Tamandua tetradactyla: one gene and its partners. The protein of the gene in region 2 interacts with the protein of the main gene of each other region in a pairwise test. Links are inferred from orthologs where the notes say so. Each region holds a gene or a part of one and is shown on either strand. Other genes may lie near its edges.

Region 1 (8,098 bases), on a different chromosome or scaffold from region 2:
AACCTTTTGATGAACAGAATTTCTTAATTTTAGTGAAGTTCGATTCTTCCGTCTTTCATTTGTTGCTTTTCTGTGTGTTCTTTAAAAAATCTTTTCTTGCAAAGTTAGGAAAGTATTTTCCTCTAGAAACGTGACATCTTGAGTTAATTTATGAGTATAATGTGAAATAGGAATCAAGGCTCCTTGTTTTCCTTAGATTCATCGCAAATCGCAAAGATGATCAATCCCTCAACAACACACACACACACACACACGCTGAGTTGCAGTAGAGCATTTTCATAAAGTGGTTTGGCTCTGCTTTGCTTCTAGACTCTTCCATTGATCTGTTGATCTATTCTTTTCTTTTTTAACTATCATTAAACCTATTTTACTATCAGCTCTGCTATGGCAGAGCCTCCAAAAATTTCGTACAAGAATGTTTGAATGTTAAGAATTACAATATTGTTGACCTATTCTTGAACTCATACCTCACGCTTATGATTAATATAGCTTTAAAATAAGTTTTTATATCTAATATGGGAAGTTTTCCAACTGCCTTTTTCTTCTTAAGCATTGCCTTGGTTATTCTAGGTCATTTGCATTTCTATATATGTTTTAGAATATGCTTATCACTTTTCACCAAAAGTAATTTTGGGGGATTTTGATTATGGTTACATTGTATTTTTAGCTTAATTTGTTTTTTGGATCAATTTGGGGAAAATTGACCTCTTTTCATCTTGTTTTCTAATCCATGAACATGGTATATTCCTTTGATTCTTTAGGGCTTTAATTTCTCACAGGAATATTTTGTGGTTTTCAATGTGGGGATCTCACAAATCTTTGGCTATATTTATTCCAAAGTATTTGCTATTTTTTGATGCCATTGTCAATGGAATTTTTTTGGTACAGCTCTATGAGCTTTTCAAAATTTTTATTTTGCTGACATACATCCCTTAAAAATATTTCTAAAAATGGACTTTCCATTTGTTTGAGGCTAGTTTATAGAAACACTACTGATTTTTATGTAATTACTTTGTATCTGGAAACAATATTATTGCTTATTCTAATAGTATTTTTCAGGTTCTTTTGGATTGTGTCATCTTTGACATGTTTTCTTTCTTTACTTTACTAATTTTAATCCTTTTATTTCTTCTCCTTGTCTGATCCCAAGGACAATGTTGAATACTAGCTGGTATTCCTGAACTCATGGAAAAAGCACTAAATCGTTTCCATGAAGTATGATGATAGCTATAAGTTTTTCATAGATGCCCATAGTCAAATTGAGGAAGTTCTTTTCAACTCCTAGTTTGCTAAGAGTTTTTTGTTTGTTTGTTTGTTTTTTAGCACGACTACATGTTAAATTTTATCAGATTATTTCTTCTGCATCTCTTGAGGTGACCATGTGTTTTTTTACCCTTTATTCTGTTAATATGGTGAATTATATTGACTGATTTTGAATATAGTTGTATTAAACTTCACTTCATCATGATGCGTTATCCTTTATAGAAACTGTGGGATTCTATTTACTTATATTTTGTTTAGGAATTCTTAGTCTATTTTCATGAAAGGCATTGACATTAAATTCCCTTTCTTGTAATATCTTTATGAGGTTTTGTTATCAAAGTTATACCAATAAAGGGTATTGGGAAATTTCTTCTATTCCCCAGAAGATTTTGTGTAAGAACACTTATTTTTTTCCTTAGTTGTTTTGAAGAATTCAGGAATTGTGTCATATGGGCCTAGAGTTTCACGTAGAAAAGTTTTAAATTATGGATTAAACTTTTAAAATAGATATAGGACTACTCAGATTTTCATTTCTTCTGGTGTCAGTTTTGGAAGGTTGTATTGCTCAGGAATGTGTTGCGTCCATTTACATTGTCAAATATGGAATGACATTTTCCATACCATCTTCTTCTTATCTTTTGCCCTCTTACTACCTTTTTAATGGCTATCAGATCTGTATGATGTCACCCTATGACAGCATTTTTCCAAGTATGTTTCCCTTTTATTTATTTGTTCACAAATACTCCTTATCCCTCTGCTCTCATTAAAATGTCAGTTCCATGACGACAGGGAGCATGTGTCCTGGCACATGATGTGCTCCCGGCATGGACGTGTCTGTTGGAGGAATGAATGGATGGGGGAGGGGTATCCAGGGGGACACCCTTAGGATGGCTCGGTGGAGTGTCTGTTCCCCTGGAGGGCACCATACCCTCTAGGCTCAGCACAGAGCAGGACACATGGGGTCCTCTGGCTGTGGTGGAAGGAATGGCATCTTCCCTCTGTCCTTATTCAGCCCTGCACCAGGACTGGGCCTGGGAGTTCAGGGATTTGGGGGTTCACAACCATCTGCCTGTTTGTCTGCAGAGCCCCCCTCCATGCGCCTGAGGGCCCGACCAGGCGGCCCTGGCCTTTCGGTGCTCACCTGCAGTGCCTTTTCCTTCTACCCTCCGGAGCTGCAACTGCGATTCCTCCGGAATGGGCTGGCAGCTGGCTCCGGGGAAGGTGACCATGGCCCCAACGGTGATGGGTCCTTCCATGCCTGGACTTCACTCACTGTTAGAAGTGGCGACGAACATCACTACCGCTGCCTCGTGCAGCACGCAGGGCTGTCACAGCCCCTCACTGTGGAGCTGGGTGAGGTCCCGCCGGGTGGCCGTCCCCTTCTGTCTGATTGCCCTCCACCTTCCCTCCTGCTGCTGTGGGTCCTCCCTGCGTCTGACCACCTTCCATCCTACTGCTGCTGGTCCTCCTTGAGTCTGACCACCTTCCCTCCTGCTGCTGCGAGTCTTCATGGAGTCTGACCACTTATTGTCTGCTACTACTAATTCTTCCCAGGACTGACCATTTACTGCTTTGCTACTGCCAGTCCTCCGTGAGTCTGACCTTCTACTGTTCTGCATCTGTAATCCTCTCTGAGCTGGAACATCACCCACCCTGGTGCTACAGTTCCCTTGGCCAGGTTGGCTCTTACATACGTTTGGGTACATTCTGCCCAAACATGGAGTGTCACCTGCCCCGGCCTTTCCTCTGCTCACCCTCACCCCAGACATCTGGGATCTCTGAGAGGGGGAAGCTATAGGAACCTCCAGCTCCCTGACCTGACTCTGATGGGGTGGAGGGTACAGTCAGCCTCTTATAGCCTTCTCTGGCTGCAGAATCACCACCCAAGTCCTCGGTGCAAGTGGCTGCAATTGTCATCAGTGTCTTGCTGCTCCTGGCAGCAGCTGCAGGAGGAGTTCTGCTGTGGAGGAGGATGAGGAAGGAGCTGCCAGGTGGGTGGCAGGAAGAGGAAAGGGCCCGAGAGAGAGGGGTAGGCACCCCGAGGGGTGGGGGTGGAGGGACAGAGACCTATCACAAGAAAGAGACAGACACATATACACAGAAATTGGTGGTGGTGTTGGGGAGGGGGGCAGGAACTCAGAGAGTCTTAGTAAATCTTATGTCCTTCTCCTTCTCTCCTCAGTCTTCTGGGTCTCCCGCCATGGGGACGACATAGGGACGCTCCTGCCCACTCCTGGCCAGCCCCAGGACGCTGACTCTCAGGATGCAAATGCATTGCCAGTGTCTACCTGACCCCCACCTCACGCCCCATTTTGCCTGCTGTCAGCTAATGTTTGTCTTCCTCTCCCTTTCATGCTGTGAGACCTCCAGATGGAATCCTGGCATCTCTGAGCCTCCAGAAGGAGTCCTGGGCCCGTTGTCCTCCTTCTGGACCACTCCTCCTGTAGGCTGCCTCAGTTTCCTCTCCTGATATATTTGGCTGTTTTCCATCTTCACATGTATAACATGATTTTGGGCCCGAATCACTGTGTTATCATCATTTCACATTTCCAAGCAGGGGAGGTGGGGGGATGAACGTGGTGGAAGACCTGAGTTTCAAATCCCACCCGCAGCCAACATCCTGTCGTGGTGGAATTTGCCAATTTTAAGTGCCAGTTCGCGTATTTACCAGTCGTAAATTCTACAAATAACTTATTGATTGCCTAAACTGTGACGGGCATTTGAGGAATTCTTGGATGGAACTTGACCAGGATCCCTCTGATGGAGTGGAGGAAAAGAGTTGTTCCGTCGCTAAGAGAAGGGGCTACCTTCCCGGACCTCATGTCTTAAACCATTCCAACAAACGGAACGGGATAAAAATACATTTCCCATGAGGCTTTGAGGTCAGAACAACTGGGGGTGGTCGGGCAGGGCGCCCCGATGCCTGCCGGGAGTTGTAGTTCTCCCCGGCCTCGGCGCGCCGGCATCGCCCACCCCGCCTGTCCTGGGAAAGGGGGGCCGGGCCTCGCTGACCGCGCTTTCCCTTGTGTACGTGGCGAGGGGCGCCCGCGGGCCCTCCGAGCGCCCATCGGCCCCGCCCCCAGGGCCTTCGTGCGCACTCATTGGTCGGGAGGCGGGGCCTCTGCCCTGCGGGAGGCGGGGCCCGGCTGGAGAGCGGCCAAATTGGGCATCTTCTGCAGCAGCCAGAGCCCCGCGCGCCGAGCCAAGCCAGGTTGGATAAAGGATAACGGGGAGCGGGTGGGGTGCAGCCCCGGGGGATGCGGCTCGGGTGGAGAACTGGGGTCCAGGCCATAAGCGAGTCCCCGGAGCCTGCCTGATCTCTGCCTGGCCGCTACCCCGCACTGCATTGGCGTGGGACGAGCGCCACGTCTCCCCTTGGACCTCCTGGACGTGAGGCTCTGGGCCTTCCCACAGCTGGGCCCCCCTTTGGGGACCCTGTAACCCTTTGTTCCCCAGCCCGGGCCCCAGCTCCAATCTCTGTCCTGCTCCTCCCCCAAGCCCCGCTGCGGCCTGTCCCTACGCTGCCCTCTTCTCTGTGGCCCGTGACGCCTGGCCTCCGCCCTTCCCCAGAAACTATGTGGCGACTCTCGCTTCTGGTGCTGCTGCTGCTGGGGCCGAGGCGGGGGGCCCAGGGGAAGCCGTCCCTGGACGCTGGCCCACACGGCCAGGGCAGGGTGCACCAGCCTGCCCCCCTCAGCGAGGCGCCTCACGACGATGCCCACGGGAACTTCCAGTTTGACCATGAGGCTTTCCTGGGACGTGAGGTGGCCAAGGAATTCGACCAGCTCAGCCCAGAGGAAAGCCAGATCCGACTGGGGTAGGAGAGAAACGGGGGAGGGAGGGGAAGGGGCAGAGGTGGGGTGGGAGGAGAGAGGGGTGGGGGCATTGATGGGGGACTGGGAAGGAAAGACAGAGTAAAATGGACCTCGGCTTTTTGCGAGAATCCAAAAATGAAGTTCTCCCTCCCGTCCTCGGGTCAAAACACAAATCAAGGGAAAATCAAGGCCTTAAGATATGACCTCTGAAGGCAGGGAGATCTGGGTTCAGATTGTGTCCCCCAAGACATTATTTGTTCCTTTGTCCCAGACACCTCCCCTCCCCGAGCTCCAATCCCCTGCTTGGCAAATGGGTCACCAGTTCCCTTTGACAGGGGCTTCGGTGAACAGGGAGATTGGGCATGTAAGGAGCCTAGCCAGGGCAGGGAAAAGCCTGAGCCCCGAGTCCCAGGGTGAGCTCGTGTCACCCCAAACCTCAGGGGGCCGGTGCACCTCTGTGTGGGAGAGACAGGGCCAGGGTGCGCCTGGGGGCAGGTAGGAGATGGAACCACTGCATACATAAACCCCACCCCCATCTGTACTTCTGGGCACCTGCTGGGTACCAGGAACCTTCACTCGAGGTGCTAAAAGGCACAGCAGCAAACAGAACAAATCAGACCGACGTCCCTGCCCTATGCCCTAAAGGGCATCCGATGGAGAGACGCCTATTAGAAAATGAAAAAGCAAGCAAGACCTGGAGGAAGTGAAGTGTGGAGGGAAGAGGTGGGGAGGGGAGATCAGTGAGGAGAGGAGGTGGGTGAAAACCTCAATGAGAAGTTTGTTTGAGCCATGTGGTGCAGCATTCCAGGCAGAGAGTAGTGAGTGCAAAGGCCCTGAGGCAGGAGCGGGCCGGTGTGTTTAAGGGACAGCGAGGAGGCCAGTGTGGCTGGGACCCAGTGAGTGAAGCAGGAGAGCCGGAGGTGAGGTTAGAGGGTTCTAGAGACAGTCTGGCCTGGGAGGAGGGCGGCGCCCTGGGAGGGCTTGGCCGTCTCGGACTTGGCCCTGGGGTCTGGGGACCGTGGGCCTGAGGAACGGTGACCGGGAGGAGGGCCCACGTGGGCTCACAGAGACTGGGCGAGCGCCGGGGTCTTGGCAGGGCGTAGCCGGCGGGGAGGGCGGGGGCCCCGAGCCTGTGGCGGCCCGGAGCTGACAGAAGAAAGGGGGCGGGGCGGGGTCGGTGGAGCAGGGGCGGGGCGTAAGCGCGCGCAGCCCTGATGGGCGGGGATTAAGGGGAGGAGCCTGCGGCGCACGCGTCTGTCCGGGGAGGGGGCGGAGCGGGGGGCGGGGTTAGAGAGAAGTCCGAGCCAGCGGAGGGGGCGGGGCCTGAGGCCGGGAGAAACAGGTGTGTGTGACTGTGGTAATCGGGGTTCAGAACGAATCCTGGGTCGGGGGCCCCAGCTCAGCCTGGCGCGCCCTGGAGCACGTGCAGCGTCGAAGGGCGAGGCCGGCGTGGGGGATGCGGTCCTGGATTGTGCGGATCGAGTTTTCTGCCCCGAATGGGGGCGTGTCTGGGGCGGAGCCTGGGCGAGGGGCGGGGCCCCGAGGTGGGCGGGGTCCGGAGACTGACCCGGGTCCCGCCCCGGCTGGCAGGAGGATCGTGGACCGCATGGACAGTGCTGGGGACGGGGACGGCTGGGTGTCTCTGGCCGAGCTCCGCTCGTGGATCGCGCACACGCAGCAGCGGCACATACGGGACTCGGTGAGCGCGGCCTGGAACACGTACGACACGGACCGCGACGGGCTCGTGGGCTGGGAGGAGCTACGTAACGCCACCTACGGCCACTACGCGCCCGGTACGCGGCGGAAGCTGCAGCCCTGCGCCCCTCACGCCACGGCCCTGACCTTGTGGGCCCCTCATCCTGAGAAGCCCCAAGCCATTTATCTAGAAGCCAGACATTTGACCTCTGACCCTTGACCAGGAGTCACTTTTAGGACCCTGTCATCCTGAAACCCCCAATCTCTGCCCTCTGGCCTCTCATTCTGGGACCCACGACCTCTATGGCCCGGTGATTGGAGGACTTCTGACCCCTGGCCAGGGTTGCCTAATGTCCTGTCATCCTGACCCCTGTGACCCGTCATGCTAAGAACCCCCAAAGCCATTTACCTGCCCCCCGACTCTCGGTTCCCTCCTCTCTGTCCCCACAGACTCCTCCTCCCCCACACCCCCGCCTGGGCCCCTCACCCCTGCCTCCTCCCCGGCCTCCCTGCCTCAGATCCCCACCTCCAGCCCGACCCTCAACCCCCGAGGGCCTTTTTGAACCCACCCAGAGCTGACCCTGCCCTTGCCCTGTCCACAGCCCCCCCAGGGCTCCCCAGAGTCCCCAGGAGAGACCCCCCCAGCCCCTCGGCCTGGCCACGCCCACCCGTCCTGCTTCCTTTCCCCCGAACCCGCCCAGCTCCTCCAAGCTGCACGTGTGTCAGACTCTGCACAGGCTGGGCTCTCTGTTGAACATGCCCGAACCCTCCTCTCGTCGGGCGACCCCCGTCTGTATAAAGTCACTGCCTTCGGGCGTGGCTTTGGGATCAAACCCGCCAGTTTCCCCCAAAGTCACCCGTGGGAGACACTTTTCCCTTCATTGAGCGCCAAGAAATGCAAGAGCCCGTTTCACTTGCCCGTGGTGAGACTTAGACGCAGTGCTGCTGGTAAAGAGGTCAGCACCTAATAAGCTCTCAACACAGGGGAGCGAATACATATATGCTATTATTATTATTATTATTTTCCTTTTTGGCATTTTATTTATTCTCTCAACAAAATTGCCATGGTACATAAGATTAATCAATAACCCCATCAGATGGATTAGGTGTTAAATGAGTACAACAAGTAAATGAACCTCACAGAGATTATTTTACTCACCTCACTTCATGAAACAAATAAATATATAGGAAAGTCAAACCCAGGCTTTTTGATTCCAGGATTTTCTGGACTAAAATCGATGCTCTGTGCATAAACCAAGTAGTAGAAGTATTTTTAAATCGCATATGCATCGTGACTAATTCTGAGGAAGCCTCCCCGCCCTGCC
Region 2 (8,375 bases):
AGATTGAAAAAGCTGTGGACTGATGATGGGGCTCTTCCATCTTTTCCCTGCTTTCTTTGTCCTCCTCCTTTAATTACACTCTCCTTAGCCCAGAAAGAAAATTGTAGCAACATGTTAAGCTATGGAGATGTTAAATTTGCCACACTATTCTCATAAAATTGGCTCAAATATTTAAAATGATTTTTCCTATCCATCTGTAATCTTGAGAGTTAAAAACACAAACACACAGAACAAACAAAACCAACTCTTTAAATTTCAAACAGAAAGAACTACACATGGCCCCAAATCTAAAAATGTGGCAGATATTCTGCAAAACGGGAAAATGACTTAAGTTCTTCTATTTCACCTTTTGGGAATTATTAGGATAAGGAAGAGAACGTTTTCCCAGAGAAAAGACAATCCTTTAAGCTTTAAAACTGAAAATGCATCACTGCTTTGACGCATTTCGTATCCATTATCAGAAAAGACAAAGGAGGAATTAAGAAGCATTAGCTTCAATGACTTTAAAGACAGAACTTCTGCCCAATCATTCAAAAAGCAAAGGATCTGGTCAGATGCATGGACTGCTCCTTCTGACTGCTGATGAAAAATAGGAAATTGCTACCAATTGTTAATTAATTAATTATTTTTACAACTAAAGAAAAAGCAGATGAGTATACAGACTGGCTGAAGATAGAAATGGTAGTGTTCTCTGGAAAGCAACATCAAGAACAACGAGTCCTAGTCAATTCCCTCCAAAAACTAACTGGGATTTCCCCCCATCCTTTATTTAGAGACATCTCTGTTACTATGACAAGAGATAATTCAGTCATTCATCCACCCACCCATCAACCCAATGAAAAAAGCATTTATTAGGCACATTATGTGTGCCAGGCACTGCCCTAACTACTGTGTGTGTGTGTGTGTGTGTGTGTGTGTGCAGGGGGGTGGGGTGGGGGTTTGTAATAAAAAAAAATAAAGGAACACCATTTTCCCCACAAGGATTTAACAGTCTAGTGAGGGAAGAAAAAAAAATTTCAAAAAGGGATGTCTCACTGAGCTCAACCTCACCCTTTCCAAGGCAGAAGCCATACCCACAGTGAGAAAACTAACAACAAAAAAACACCTTTCCTTAGAAAAAGTGAAGAACTTGGAACTGGATCTCAGTCTGAGTTTTGATTCCTCAACTCACAAACCTGGTAGTTTTAAATACGTTATTTAATCTCTCCAAGCCTCACTTTCACGCATAAAATGAAGATAGTTAATTCTTAACCTACCTACCAGACCCGAACCTTAAACAAGATGATGCAAATGAAAGTACCATGTAACATGCCCAAGGGCTGGCTCAAAGGAGCGATCTGAAAAAATCAGTTTAGGACAGAGGGGATTGGTAGTTTAGCCCCAATGGAGGGACCTAGAAGGGGCACAGAAAGGTTATCTCGGTGGGACCATAACCTTTCAGTGTAAAACAGAAATGCAGCAATCTCACAACTATCGCTCCCAATTACAAGTAGTATTCTGATTCTTTACATTTGTCACTATTGATGCATTTGCGTGGGGCGCTAGCAAAATGAATAACGAATAAAACATTCTATTTAGGGCTTGTATGACCCTGGTCTCATGTGTAACCTTGGGCTCACTTTACCTCCACGAGCTTGTTTTCTTATCTGTAAAATGACAAATTTCCTTAACTGTCCGCAGTTTTTGAGAGGACCCAACTCGAAAGCATGTGAAAGCTCCTTGCAGACACTAGAGCATCTTGCAAATATTATTATGTTTAGTAATTATTGTTTCCTCAACAACTAACATTCCTAAGAGGAAGGCACCTCCCGTCTTGCTTTGTCATTCTCCTTTCTTCTCAACATTTATTAATTTTATGCCTTATAATAGCAGAAATAACTGAAACCCTATGGCCATTTCTGGCACCAGATTCTCGGACCCCACCTAGATACACTATTAAGCCACCCCGCCAGTTCCGGACCCAAGGAAACTCAGTCCTTCCCACCCGCCGGCCTCGCCCTTCAGGCCCCACCCCAAGATAATCCGTTCAAACTTCATGCAGCGCCCCGCCCCTCAAGAGGGGGAACACTACGGCGGCCTGGAAGAAAGGCAGGAGGGCGGGCCAATCACTGCATAGGGTTGCCCTCATCCGGAAAGGCTTAGAGGCGGGGTTACTGGTCAAGATGGACAGCTAGCGCAGCCAATAGAATTATCCGGGAATGGGCAGAAGGCGGACATCGGGAGCTCACAGAGAGGTTAAGGCCCCTCGAGCCAAGGGCCCAAGAATCTGACTCGGACTACAGTTCTTTCCTTTACCCACCCCAAAGTTCTCCATCCCAAGGTTGCCAGCCGACCGCCCTGCCTGCGGTCTATGGGTGGGGGAGGACGGAAGCGGCGGCGATAAACCCGCCTGACAGGCCAGGCCGGTGACAAAGAGCCGGCCGCCCAGCCTGAAACCTGGGAAGCCATCCCTTCGGGGATGGGAGCACAAGTCCTTCTAGAGAGAGGAAAGAAGCAACTCACGTTGTCAATTACGACTGGCTGGTTAGCGATCACATCGTAGGACTCCATGGCAGAGTAATCTCTCTTTCCGAGGAAGGAACTGCCAGCCCGGTCCGCTGCAAACGCCGCTGACACGCATGCGCAGTCTAGCCGCCGGCACTGGGCAGTCAGGGAGGGGCGCTACCTCCTTTGCTAGGAACTACAACCCCCAGCATGACGTGCACCAGGGTTGGCGGAAAACCCTCCTCGGAGACCCGCCCAGTTTAAAGGACTGGGCGTTAGCGTTTCGGTCGCACAGTATTCTGGGGTTTGTAGTGTCCATGTTCATAAATAAGTAGACTCGGACACAGATTGATGCTTAAATTGCGTGCTCGGATCTGTAGTCTCTTTGAAGCGGTTCGCAATGCGTGCTGAAATGCGTAGTTTTTTTTTTAAAATACTTGTCTGTAGTTTGGTTTGGATTGGTCAGTAATTCGTGGCTGTTTGAATTTTTATGGATCAGTCATTGCCCACCCTATCCCCAAACAATGTACGGTTGCCATGCTTTTATCTGGGTCTTTAAGATATTAAAAACAAGCATTTCCTATTGCCATTACATTCTAGACATATTAAACAACACTACACACAGAAGAATATGCTCCCAGAATACAGGAAAATAATAATAACTTTAAGGAAAAAAGCAGTATATTGCAGCTTTTTGCATTTAAAAAACTTTTTAAATAGGTGTAAACTTTATAAAAGGCTGACAATCTGAATGGCATTTGGAACTACTGGGTATAGGTGATTTGTTTTTATTGTCATCATGGGAACATATATACAACGCAAAATTTCCCATTTTAACCTTTTTCATGTGTATAATTTAGTGATATTATTTACAGTCACGGTGTTGTGCTGTCATCACCACCATCTATTTCCAAAACTTTTTCATCACCTCACACAGAAACTCTGTACTCATTAAGCAATAATGCCTCACTTTTCTTCACTTTTATCTCCAGGTAACCTGTAATGTACTTTCTGTTTCAATCAATCTATGAATTTGTTTATTTTAGGTATTTCATATAAGTGAAGTCATACAATATTTGTTCTTTGTGTATGTCTCATTTTGTTCACCATAGTGTCTTCAAGGTTCAACAGTGTTGTAGCATGTGTCAGGAAGTCATTCATTTTAATGGCTAAATAAAACGGGTATACCACATTTTGTTTATTCATAATCTGTTAATGAACATTTGGGTTGCTTTCACCTTTTGGCTATTGTGAATAATACTACTATGAATGTTGGCGTACAAATATCTTTTTGAGTTCCTGTTTTTAATTCGTTTGCGTATATAAATATGGGTGATTTTTTAATTAGAACATCGTTAATATAAGGGTTTCGGGAACTGTCCTAATATCTCTTTAATTTCCACAGAAATATTGATTTTTAAGTTAAAAATAACTATGACTTTGATGGATAAGATAGTCCATCAAAAGAAAGTTTATGTGGCACTGCTCTCATATGAGACCAGGGCCTTTTTCTCTATGTTATTTTTCTCTGTTCAAGTTGGAGGGACCCTTTAGTCAATAGCAGTTATAGCCAACACTCCCTTCTGTCCCTTTCTCTTGGCATTTCTTCGCGATCGACAGGAAGACAATTCCAAATCCTATGCCTTAGAAATTAAAGAAAAATTATTCCAGTTATGGAGAGTCAAGGTAACAGCGAAAGGCAAACCCATAGCAAATGATAAATATTGAAGTGCCTCGAGGTAATCTGCAGTTCATCTACCTAAAACAGAAGAAAAAATGTCATCGTTATTAAAAGCGTTAAATTATTAAAAGTCGACTTGTTCTATTTCAGCATAGGACCCCTGAATTTGGCCGTGTTAACAGTGTCAGTCAGTATGATTTAAAGACGTTCAAAGACAGTAAGAAACATTAGATTAATAATCCATTAAAACTAATTCCCATGGACGAATGAATCAATCCATTGTCATAGTTATGTTTAAATCCTTGTTAGTGTATCAGCAGAACAATTGCAACCCTTTTGTCAGCGCCATTCCCAGTGCTTTCGTGGGACTCTAGTACTTCAAAAGGATGCTCAACATCTGTATTTGAATCTGGTTCCCTCCGAACACTAGGGGGAGATAAAGAGCCTTGGAACACCCTCAACTCAAGGTGGGGAGGCGGACCTATTGTCAGGTCACGCCTTCCCCATCTGTGACTGGCACAGACGCTAACCAATTGGTGCTTGGATAGGGCGCGCCGGCGCCCCGCCCCCCTCGAGCACCCCGCGGCATCAAGGCACCCTCTTGTAGACTCCGCGGCGGCAGCGGCGGCGGCCTGGGCGGACGAAGCGCGGTGCGCAGGCGCGGAGCGTAGACCTCGCTGCAGCCCGGATCGCTTCGGGGAGTCGTACCCGCAGAGTCTACCCGCTGGCCCGTCAGTGCTTTCCCCTTCACCCACCCTCCCGGGTTACCCTAGCGCCCTAGTTGCCCCGATGGCGGAGCTGCGGCCTAGCGGCGCCCCGGGCCCAACCGCGCCCCCGGCCCCTGGCCCTACTGCCCCCCCGGCCTTCGCCTCGCTCTTTCCCCCGGGACTGCACGCCATCTACGGAGAGTGCCGCCGCCTTTACCCTGACCAGCCGAACCCGCTTCAGGTTACAGCTATCGTCAAGTACTGGTAAGACCTGGGCCGTGGGGAGACGGACAGGGGAGGAAAGCGCCCGGGGCAAAGAGATTTGAGGGAGAGGAGGAGGAGGAGGGTTAAAGCACTTGGAAGGAGGGCTTTCTGCTTTGAGGGAAGGAGTTAAGGCTCAAGTTGGGAATGGGGACAAAGGGGTTAACGGAGTGTGTGGTCAGTGAAGGGTTAACGGGTGAGGGGAGGATGAAGGGTTAACTGGGATTAGGAGGATGGACCGAGAACTGGGGGTGTGTGAATGGGGAGCAAAATGGGGAACGTAGTGAGAGGGGAACTGTAAACGTGGTGAAAGGAGGGGTCGCCAGTAGGGGGTCATTAGTGGGCGAGGGGAAGCCAAGGCGGGGGCTGAAGTGGAATGGGGGAGGCGAGGCGGGGCCTGGGGAGCAAATGAGAGAGCTTTGGAGCAGCGAGGCTGGAGGAGCTCCGAGGGCAGGAAACTGCATAGGATAGGGACGGATCTGGGGCACCGGGCTTTCTAGTGAGTTGGAAAGGGAACGAGTTGAGAGGGTTGTGCTCGTGAAGAGATGAGGAGGAGGTCTCCTTTTGATACAAGTGAGCTCAGACTCAATATCAGTGTATAGCTTTTGCTTTTGAAGTTTGCCGGAACAACTCTTCCTGATAAACTTTTTGCTTACTCTGCACGGTTCTTTAAGCAGAACTCCCATCTGGCTCTGCAACTTCTTTGCTTTGGAACATTGTCTAGAATAGGGGCAGGATCAAACGGACCCATCTTTTGGCTAAGGGTTTACGGGGGTCACAGCTTACATTTCCACTGGGAAGTAAATGATGGGGACCTGGGATCTCAGGCAGGGAGAAGAGGAAATGTGCAGTGAGATGTTAAGAGGAACTTTCTGGCCATGCGTTTCAGAATATAAGTAGGATTTTCTCAGGGAAGCTGAGGAGGGTAACCCTCAAGTAGCTCCCTTAAGGAGCACACTGGATTATAGCTAGGTGGGCTGCCTTTGAGGAGTGGGTCTTTTCTAGTTTCCCATTCCTGTTTATATCCTGTGTCTTTTTGCAGCCTCTGGCCACAGATGGGACTTTGGGAAAGAGTCAGTCCTCATGGTCTTTCTAGATGAAATATTAACTAAGAAATTAGTTAAATCTGGCCAGGACTGTACTCATCAGGTATTGTATTAGATGCTCCCCTTCAGTGGGCCTGGAAAGACAGGTCAGGCAGCTGAATTGGTTTGGCCAGAGGGGAAAGGTAGGACCTGAAGTGAATGTCTTGGCTGATTATCTCTCCCTCCTCAGTGATTACCTTTTACTTCTGGAGGCTGTGCAGGACTGAGGCCGGTTCACTGTGTCAGTGGGAGGATGCAGGCCCTAGAGCTGACTGCGTGGAGGGCTTTTGGGATCAGTCATCTGCTCTTTAAGAAAGGGCCATGGGGAGCAGGCTGTTTCTGTCTGGGTGGCCAGGACCAGGTGTGGCTGGCGGTGCAGTTCTCTCTGGCAGGCAAAATGTTCATGTTCTTTGGTTGAAAGTTTTTGAAGAGAGCCTCTGAGTGGAAAGCAGCTCTTGCTAACGCTTATCGAATCTCTTATTTTAAATATGGGTTGTGATGAACTTTGTTGGAGTGTATCAAGAGAAAAGTGGGTCTGACTCTACCATACTGTTTGTTTAGGCCTTCTTTGATTGTGAGGAGAAATGCACACATAGACTTGGGCAGCTGTTTTTGTCTGTCACTCAAGTGGCCATAAAGGATGGAGCTGTGTGTAAAATGTATTGAAGCACATGCAAAGGACAAGACTGGTTTGGGCAACTTTTTTTTTTCTCTCCTTCCTGCTGCAAATTTGTTAATCAGGCCAGGTCTTATCTTTAGAGATGGACCAAAGAGGATTGTACAGCACTTTGTGAAATTAGAAATGCTACCTATATGTAGAAAAATAAGAAGAAATTGTTTAGCAGTTGGTATTTCCTAAGATCCTGAACTTCATATCTCTTACATTTAGGATCTTTGTATGTTGCCTAACTCTATGAGGCCTCTTTATTTCCCATAGCAGAATGACTGACCAAGGTTGTGTGGGTTTTACTGTGGCCCAGGGTATCTTGGGATTCCTCTTCCTGCAGCAGCAGGATTGCTCTTTGGCTAGTGGTGCTGGCCAGGACATCCTGGCTGAAAGCTGAGACTTTGGTGAGTCGGAAGCAGAGCCTGTGCCCTGGGCCCACTTCAGTCCTGTAACCAGCCTGTCCAGTGAAGTTAGGTGTTCGGGGTTCTCTTCTGGAATTAAGTTGAGGCATGCTCTGGGTCCTTGAATAACATCTTCTAGGTGCAGGATAGATTATTTTCCCCATACTCATCTGCTTCCAGTCAGGTTTCTATGAGTAATTGAACAGAACATGCAGTGCTAGGGGCCGAGGTTAATTTTGTCTGACTGTTGGTCATTCTCTGCAGTTAGAGTTTTAAGGATGCAATAGCCCCTGGGAAATGTGGAAATGCAAAGTGAGCTGCAGTGGTACAGCAGAAGGTGCATGGATGGTAAAAGTATCTTGGCCACTTGATGTTGGAAGGGAAAGATTGGGAATTCGTAACAGGAAACTGGAGCAGATATGGGGCTTGTCATCATTCCTGTCTCTTTAAGGATTCTGTAGTATGATAGGGCCTTTTCAGGGGTCTCTGCCCTTTTCTTTCCTCCTTCTGCCTGCAAACTTTTCTAAATCCAATTGATGGACAGATTAGTCATATGATTTGGTATAATCAGAGTTAAGGCAGACATGGAGATTTATCCTTTTTCTAATCCACTCAGCTGAGTTTCTAAATTATTTGTAGCAGCTTTCTTACAAGTTCTATAAATAACTTAACATTTCCTACTAAAGAATAAGGATTTTCTACAAAGACAAATAATATTCTGGTGAAATAGTATGAAACCAAACCTACTGGTTTTAAATAGTGTTGAAATTGCATGGTACTTGCTGGGATTATATGTAATGTGTCTCTTACTTGGTTGTTAGCTTTCTTTCAGCGTACTATCCCGCTTGCAAAGTACACTCCCCCAGTGTCCCAGAGGCAGGCAAAGTTTTTGGAGTCTGTGGAATGGTCAGATGTCCAAGGCAACTCAAATTCAGAGTGTTTGTGGGCTAAGTGCAGACTTTCTTCTGCTGATGGTTTCCATTTAGTCTGTTTCTCAAATCTACAGAGTTTCTCTATCTGTTCCGAAGAAAAGCACGATTTTTTTAAAGCACGAATCACTGTACTAAAGGGAACCACTATTGAATTAAA
Region 3 (8,117 bases), on a different chromosome or scaffold from region 2:
CTGAAGTTGGAAATGTATTTCTAGATTTTGAGACACTGAGCTATATGTGTATCAACTGGTAGTTCTCCGGAACTTTGAATAACTCTGTGACACCTAAGACCCAGAAATGAACAGTACAGCCCTGAAAGTGAGCATAGCTATATATAATAACACTTAAAGTAACCGAAAAAGAGATCAGGCCTCAGCATTAAAAACGAAGCTAATCTGGCTGGATATAAGGTAAATCAGAATACAGGGTAAAAGATAATAGCGTATGTACTCTAGACCTTCACGTACTATATGAGACCAAAGGCAGAGTGGTTTATTATGTCTGGAACCTAATTTTTCAATAATTCATAACCTAAATCAATCTGTCTGGATAGCTCACTTAAACAATCCAAACTCCTGGAGTCCAGAATGGGAACAAGGCCTTGTAATTCTGTATAGTTTAATGGAATACCAGGATACACATCCTAGACTATGGTGGGGGGGCTGATGATTAAAAGTATTGGTAGAATCCCTTCAAGATCCTAAGGGAAAAAAAAGTATATGTGCATACATATGGAACTATTGAACTTTCCCATCTGGAAGCTTTGGGTACCCTCTCAACCATTGGAGACTCCCAGGAAATTAGGTCAAGTCCTTGATTTTGAGGCTTGCCCATAGGAAACTTATTTCTGTAGAGGAGAAGCTAAGAGTACCCATAATGAGGCCTAAGAGTTGCATCCAGGAAACCTCTTTTGTTGCTCAGATGTGGCCTGGTCTCTTTCAATTATTGATCTGTTGAGAAGAATTTAATGCAATAAATGCTTGGTCTGGGAAAGGGCAAGGCTATCGGAGAATGGGTCTTAGATAATTATTTTTCCAAATGGCACCTCTATTCCACTCACAAAACACACAATAGGCATACCAAGCTAACTAAATAAGAAAGTATCAAAGCAATACATCAGTGTAGTACAAAATTTATATAACTTCATAATCTTACAACCTTATAATCAAGTACCAACTGATAGTGAAAATATCTTTTCATTGGGTTTGATGAAAGTGTAGATTATTAGGATAGTTTATGGGTCTATCTGCCTCCTGCCACTGAAGCCATTGGAGGCCAACACAATAACCCTCTTCCCCTAAACTTCAGCCTTTCTGTAAAAGATTTCCATCTCCCCTAAGAGAAAAAGGAACATGTCATAGGCATATTCTCAGTGGATTTGAAATGCTTACAGAAAGAGAGACAAGTTACGGGGAAAATTACTGGCACACACATACGCATACTCTTTTAAATTAAATAAAGACAGGGTCTCATTTTACTTCTCTAATCCATAACCTAGTAGTCAAGAAGGGAGACTCCAGAGCAATACCTGCCTTCAAATCTTGGTTCTGCCACTTACTAGCTGAATGACGTTGGGCAAGCTACCTAAATTCTGATTTCCTAATATGCAAAATAAGGATAATAATAGTACCTATTTCACAAAATGTCTCTAAGGATTCAATGACATAATGTACATAGGCCTTTAGCAACAGTGTCCAACCTACAATTAAGTGCTCAACAAACATTAGCTATTATTAAAGTCCTTTCAAAATGAGTGAAAAACAGAATGATTGATGTTTACATTCAAACCAAAATGCTTTGATATGTTGTACTTAATGCAAGTATATTAAGACAACCAAATTCTTGGTTTTACCTCTTGACTGACTCCACTGTAAAAATAATCAACAATTGAAATATGTTTTATCCTATTGGGGATTTCACTGAACAAGGACATAATCCCCTCTGAAAGCACAGAACAATTTAAAAAGCAGAATGAATTAAAAATGTCATGCCATATTTTTCAACCAAAATCTATCTGATTTGATAGAAGTGGTATGTTATTCATGGAAAACATTTTTGTAAAAGACATACACATGCATACACATAAATTGGGCTGGGAATCAAGATATTTAGATCCTAGCTGAAGCTTTGCCCAAAACTCATTGTTTGGTCTTAGACAAGCATAGCTTGGTGAATAAGAGTCAAACAGACGTATGTTTGTGTCTTAACTGTGATGTTTAGTAGATGTGTGATCCTGGGCTTTCAGCCTCTTCTCATTTGTAAAATGGGAAATAATAATTAGAAACTATCTTATAGGAATGCTGTGGGGTTTAAATGCAATAATGTTTATAATGATCTAACTCAGAGCCTGGCACTAATTGCTTAAAAAAATTAGCATCTATTAATGCTAGTACATTCACTTCTCTTGGCTTCAGCTCCCTCATACGTAAAATGAGGAGATTGGTTTACCTAGGGAAAATCCCATCCTGCTCAAATTCTACAATTTAAATGAGAAAATCCAGTGTCATCCTCTCATTCAGATAATAATTATAAAATAAAACTTAAAATAGGCTTTGCCTCAGATGGTTGTAGCAGAGACACAGTGAAAAAAGAAGGACTTAATGGCACTAAACCTGAAACTGGGATGAAAGGAAAACTTCCTGAGTTTCCATAATGAATCTCACTCTGAGACTTTCAAAGAGTTTAACCTCAAAATCAGTGATACCTCAAATCATAGCTTTTTGAAGACTGAAAGTCGGACTGATTTGAACAATTAGTTCCCCCACCCCCCACCCCCCATTTCTATTCCACAGATTCGTCTCCAAGCTCTTTCCAAACCTGATATTTTTAGATTAAGAATATGTCTTCTCAAATTTATCGCTCATTTTAGGGCTAGATTATCAGTAGCCCAGATTAAAAGTAACTAGCAGATCCCTCCCCATTAAACTGGCGCTTGAAACATATTCACCTTACCAACTTCTCATCCCTTACCTTACTCCGCCCAGACTGAGCTCAACCGCACCCGCTCTAGCAAAACGGAAAAGGCTCCTGCGCAAGCTCCACACCCCCTCTCGCCGGGAACCCAACCCTGGCAACATGCGAGTGCGCAGGCGCAGCGCTCTCAGTATGTTTGAGTACGGCTATGAGAAATCTACTGTCCAGTGGAATCTCGAAGTGATAGAATTCACCTCCCTTCTTTCTTCAGAGGCAGAGGCGCCACCTCTTGCTACTACGGGGTTAGAAGCGCGTTTAAAACGTTGCCCTCTCTAGGAGCAAGGCCCTTCGCTCTCGCAATACCCACTGCATCTCTCTTCTCAGCTCGTTTTTTACGTTACGCTGACGCCAGTCTTCGCCCGGAGGATACAGGCAGTTGGCTCCGCAGCAGCTGCACCAGTTTGTTGGCTGCCTCTTTAGGCCGCGGAACCTACAGGTCCCACACGGGGCACAGCAGCAGCCGAGTGCCTTGCTCTCCCTCCTTAGCCCTTCTCGTCCACCCAGGTTGGCTGCTTACCTCGTGCGTGGTGCGGTCACGGAGGGATCTGGGGTTCCCAGAACAGGTCAATGCTGGGGCAGGCGAATTCAGCGAGATTTTTCCTGGGTCTCTACTGCCGCCTCAGACAATGAAATCAGCGTGTCCGATCATCAATTCTCATCATGATCGTGACGTCACGAAAGACAGCTGCCAATGGGAGCCCGAGATCAGCTCTGGACAGTCCCTGGCCTCAGCCCAGAACCTAAGAGTGGGGAGGGGGAGGAGAGGTGGCTGCCTGCAGTGTAGCTGCCTCTTCCCAGCACAGATTAGCAACATACAGAGTCAGGCCTCTCTGTACCTCTCCCTTCCAGAATAGCTCAAATGCCCAGTATCCCTGTCATTATAGTGTATGTATGGAACCTTTTGAGCAGGTGCTGTCTGGTTTTCCAACTTGAGATTTGCTTTCAAAAGAATTGTTGCAAGCTGCTAAGATCAAGTGTGCACATAAAGAAATATAGTCTTTTGTGTTCAGTGTTTGACTGACAGGTACATATTTAGTGTTATTAAAATCAAGAAGGCGCCCTTAGAGGCTTTGGAATTTGTCAGTAAGAGCAAATGTACTATTTATATGAGACTGGTTGACTCTGGAGACTAAGACAGGAAATTAAAGTTATGAGTTTTATGCACCTAACCTCAATCGCGGTTCTACCAGAAGTTGCTTAAGTGATCACCAAAACAGCATTACAGTAAAAGATTCAAGAAACCTATTACATTAGTCAACACTCACTTACAACACTCCTACAGTTTGCTGTGTTATATGTAAAATTCACTGGTTCTGTGCTACTACAAAAGTAGGAAAATCATTGGGGAAATAAGATTAGCACACATAAAACATGCATGACAAAAAAATAAATTGCATGATCGTATATTCAGTCAGAAACTAAAGACAAGAGCAACACTGGATAATGATGGGAGACATCAGTGAGATGGGGATAATGAGGGAAGCGTTCTATGTTGTAAACAAAACTTACCGGATAGAAAAAGATGGAAGGCACTGTTTGATAGGGGAAGGAATAGGCAAAAGTGAGGAAATAGAAATATACACAAGAAGGTTCATAATGAAAACAATCTGACAAATGGACTTAAGGACTACTGAGAGATAGGACACATTGATTATTAAAGCCTTTGAAAATAGGTGGAGAACTTCAATTTGATTAAAAACCACCAAAGGCCTTAAGGCAGCCTTCTCAGTCAGTGATCTATAGAGCAGCTTGGGTGATTTTTTTTTTTTTTTTACTGTCAGATCATCCCCAGTTCCAGACAGCCCAATGTCATCCATTCACTAATAACATAAAATGCAAATTTTTACCACAGTTCCAGGGCCCTAAATGATTTGGCTTTTGCCATCTTTCTTACCTCAGTTCTTGCCAATCTCCAGCTAACTCAATTTCCAATCACACTCACCTTCTCTCAATTTCTCATATAAATTAAGCTCATCAGAGTCCTTTTACTATTTACTATTGCTCTCTCTCTTCTTAAAACAACTTACTTCCTCACTTCATTCAAATCTCTGCTCAAATGTAATCTCTTCAAAGTAGTTTCCATTTGAAACAGCAATCTTCCCAACACTCCATATACCCCTTTAACTGTTTTATTTTTCTTCCTAGGACTTATTATTATCTAATCTGCTTATATTTCTAGTTATTATTGCAAATGTACGTTCTATGAGGGCAGGTTTTTTCATGTTTTTTTTTATTACTGTCTGCCTAGGATCTAGAAGAGTTCTAGACACAAAAGAAGACAGATCAATAAGTACTTGTTGAATGAATTACTAAATGCAAAATTTTCAAGTGATTTCAAGTAATTTACAGTTTGAATCATATTGGGGATAGACTGGAGTGAAACAGACCGTTTAGAAAGGTGTATTTGTAATTCATGTTCTGGATGACTGACTTGAGTCTGGATCAGTGTTAATAGCAAGAATTAAAATAAATGAGTGAATCACATCAAAGAAGGAATGAAAAGGGTGAAGGTGGAGGATTCACAGATGACCTACTCATGATGAATTAATGCATGAAGTACCTACCATGTACCTGTCACTGAGATGATATGAGAGAAAAAATAAGGCAGAGTCTCTATACTCAAAAAGTTTATAGTTCAATTGACAAGACTATATATATATATACCAGAGTACAAAAGAAGGCAATTAAATTCACCCAGTTTCCCATTCCTCTTTTTCTGTCACACTCTGTGTCCTTAACTGGAGCACTCCTTACCTCCTCCATCACTAGTACAATGGTCATGATCACTATCACTTCTAGCTTGAATTACTTCAAATTATCTTATGTGGTGATGGCAGCACAATATTGTGAATGTAATTAACTACAATGAATTATATATAATATATGTGAATCTGGTAAAAGGGATAAAGTTCAGGCTGTATACATGTCACTGTTAAATTTTTTTTAAAAAACATAGGACTGTACAACACAAACAGTAAACTCTATTGTGAACAATGGACAATACAAAAAAATGTCCTTTCATGAATTCTAATAAATACACCACACTAATCCAAGGTGTTAATGATAAGGTTGTATATGGGAGTGCTGTGGTTTACACATGATTTTTCTATAAGCCCACAAATTCTCTAATGAAAAAGGGGCTATAGAAAAAAAGATCCTTTGCATCTGGAAGTGCAACTGGAGGAGGAGAGGTCGTAGCCTTTCTAGGAGCCCTTAGAGACAGAGTCCTCAGGAGCAGTGTGCCAACAGATTCATTCCACCACTTAAACCCTAAAATATTGAGCCACACCAGGTCTTAATGATTTAAGGTGAAAACAATAATTGAAAATGTCCAACAAAATAGCAAGCACCAACAACATAGCTGGCCAAAGAGAACTGTGCAGTAGTTAAGATTAGAAGCCTCAAAGATAAGCCTACTCTTTTAGTTTGTAAAAGCTGCCAGAATTCAATATACCAGAAATGGAATGACTTTTTAAAGATGAATTTATTAAGTTGCAAGTTTACAGTTCTAAGGCCATGAAAATATCCAAATTAAGGGAAGGCTGTAAAAATGTCCAAACTAAGGCATCCAGGGAAAGATACTTTGGCTCAAGAAGGCCAATGATGTTCAGGGTTTCTCTCTCAGCTGGAAAGGCACATGGTGACATCTGCTAACTTTCTCTCAAGGTTTTCTTAATGGCTTCCCCGGGGGCATTGTCTTTATGCATCACCAAATGTCTCCGGCTGTGTGCCTTCTGTTGGTTCTGGTGGCTCTTAAGCATTTTCAAAAGTGGTTCCCTCTTAAAGGACTCCACTAAGCAACCCCACCTTGAATAGGTGGAGACACATCTCCATGGAAACCCTATAATCAAAAGTCACTACCCACAATTGGGCGGGTCACACCTTCATGGAAATACTCAAGAAGATCCCACCCAGCAATATTGAATGAGGATTGAAGGACATGGCTTTTCTGGAGTACATAATAGCTTGAAACCATACACCTACTTATAATAATGCCAAAGAGTCATCCCCAAAGAACCTCTTTTGTTGCACAGATGTGGCCTTGCTCTCTAAGTCAACTCTGCAAACAAACTCACTACCCTCCCCACTATGTGGGACATGACTCCTAGGGGTGTAAATTTCCCTGGCAACATAGGAAATGACTTCCAGGGATGAGTCTGGTCCTGCCATTGTAGGATTGAGAATGTCTTCTTGACCAAAAGGGGAAAAAGAAATGGAACATAATAAAGTTTCAGTGGCTAAGAGATTTCAAATAGAGTCAAGAGGTCATTCTGGAGATTACTATTATGCAAGCTTCACCAGATATTGCAAATTTGCCACAGTATACCAAGCCCGAATCAACAGTATTCCTGAAAACTATAAAGAATACCTTGGGCTCTATCTAGGACTCTATAAATATTTATTTAACAAGTTTATTTTTTTCAGAAACTTAATACCTCCAGATTGTTCCTATGCCAAATAAGCCCTGAAACCCTTGAGAGAGGTAACAGTCTCTCCAAGAACATTAACCAGTTTCATACTTCTACCCCATAAGGTTGACACCCCTTTCCAGCATGAAGAAGTCAAAATGGTCATTGCCCAGATATCCCTGAAGATTGAGAAAATGATCAAATGTGAGGGAGGAGGTGTTACTGAGAAATTAGGATATAACATATGATTATAACTACTGACTCATTATATAAATATTTATTTTTAGTTCTTGTGTATCAGAATAGCCAGATGGAAATATGTGAAATTGTTGAACTGTAATCCAGTAGCCTTGAGCTTTGATAATGATTGTAGAGCTATATAGCTTTTATCATCTAACCATGTGATTATAAATCCTTGTAACTGACATTCTCTTTATCCAGTGTACAGGTAGATGAGTAATAAAATAAAGATACGCATAAAAAAAGTAAATTAAAATTATGTTTAATGACAAAACAAAGAATAGGAGACTCCACTGAAAGAATAAAAGGTTCAAAAGTATCTTTGGACTTCATGTCCTATTGTGAGGAGCATGCCAGGGAATTATAGGAATTCCAACTTCAGAAAAACCCTTTCAAGGATTAAAAATTTGCATCATCTTATAGTAGGATAATCAAACAATTCTTCATTTCTTCTCAACAAAGCAAATTATAAGCAGCTCCTTAAAGAGATTTACCTTCAGCTTAATTGGTAACCACTGCTAATAACTTAAATGCTCCTAACTTGAGTTAATGGCCTTTGAAGACTATTTTCCAAGTTTTCCTTTCTCATAAGTACCCTTTACTGATTTAATACAAAATAACTATCATGTTTTTCATTTGGTAACTATCCTGTCTTATTGGATTTCTGTTTAAGGAAAATTTGTTAG

What was found.
Region 1: the proteins of SUFU (region 2) and RCN3 interact in binary tests that used the Homo sapiens proteins (3 or more experiments, as listed by UniProt). The two-hybrid records come from large-scale screens. The link is inferred for Tamandua tetradactyla from reciprocal best matches to the Homo sapiens genes SUFU and RCN3.
Region 3: the proteins of SUFU (region 2) and HDX interact in binary tests that used the Homo sapiens proteins (3 or more experiments, as listed by UniProt). The link is inferred for Tamandua tetradactyla from reciprocal best matches to the Homo sapiens genes SUFU and HDX.

Annotation. Positions count from the first base shown.
Region 1 is NC_135342.1:11,591,012-11,599,109, reverse strand, and holds the start of RCN3 (reticulocalbin-3), read left to right. Parts: upstream 1-4,382; 5' UTR 4,383-4,474; intron 4,475-4,833; 5' UTR 4,834-4,838; coding exon 4,839-5,080; intron 5,081-6,668; coding exon 6,669-6,871; intron 6,872-8,098. Other genes in the region: FCGRT (IgG receptor FcRn large subunit p51), read left to right, coding at 2,347-2,616, 3,138-3,254, 3,446-3,555. UniProt on the Homo sapiens protein: Probable molecular chaperone assisting protein biosynthesis and transport in the endoplasmic reticulum.
Region 2 is NC_135339.1:64,379,217-64,387,591, forward strand, and holds the start of SUFU (suppressor of fused homolog), read left to right. Parts: upstream 1-4,768; 5' UTR 4,769-4,954; coding exon 4,955-5,136; intron 5,137-8,375. Other genes in the region: ACTR1A (alpha-centractin), read right to left, coding at 2,503-2,550. UniProt on the Homo sapiens protein: Negative regulator in the hedgehog/smoothened signaling pathway. Down-regulates GLI1-mediated transactivation of target genes. Down-regulates GLI2-mediated transactivation of target genes. Part of a corepressor complex that acts on DNA-bound GLI1.
Region 3 is NC_135353.1:85,477,325-85,485,441, reverse strand, and holds the start of HDX (highly divergent homeobox), read right to left. Parts: upstream 3,435-8,117; 5' UTR 3,300-3,434; intron 3,154-3,299; exon of another isoform or gene 2,780-3,153; intron 1-2,779.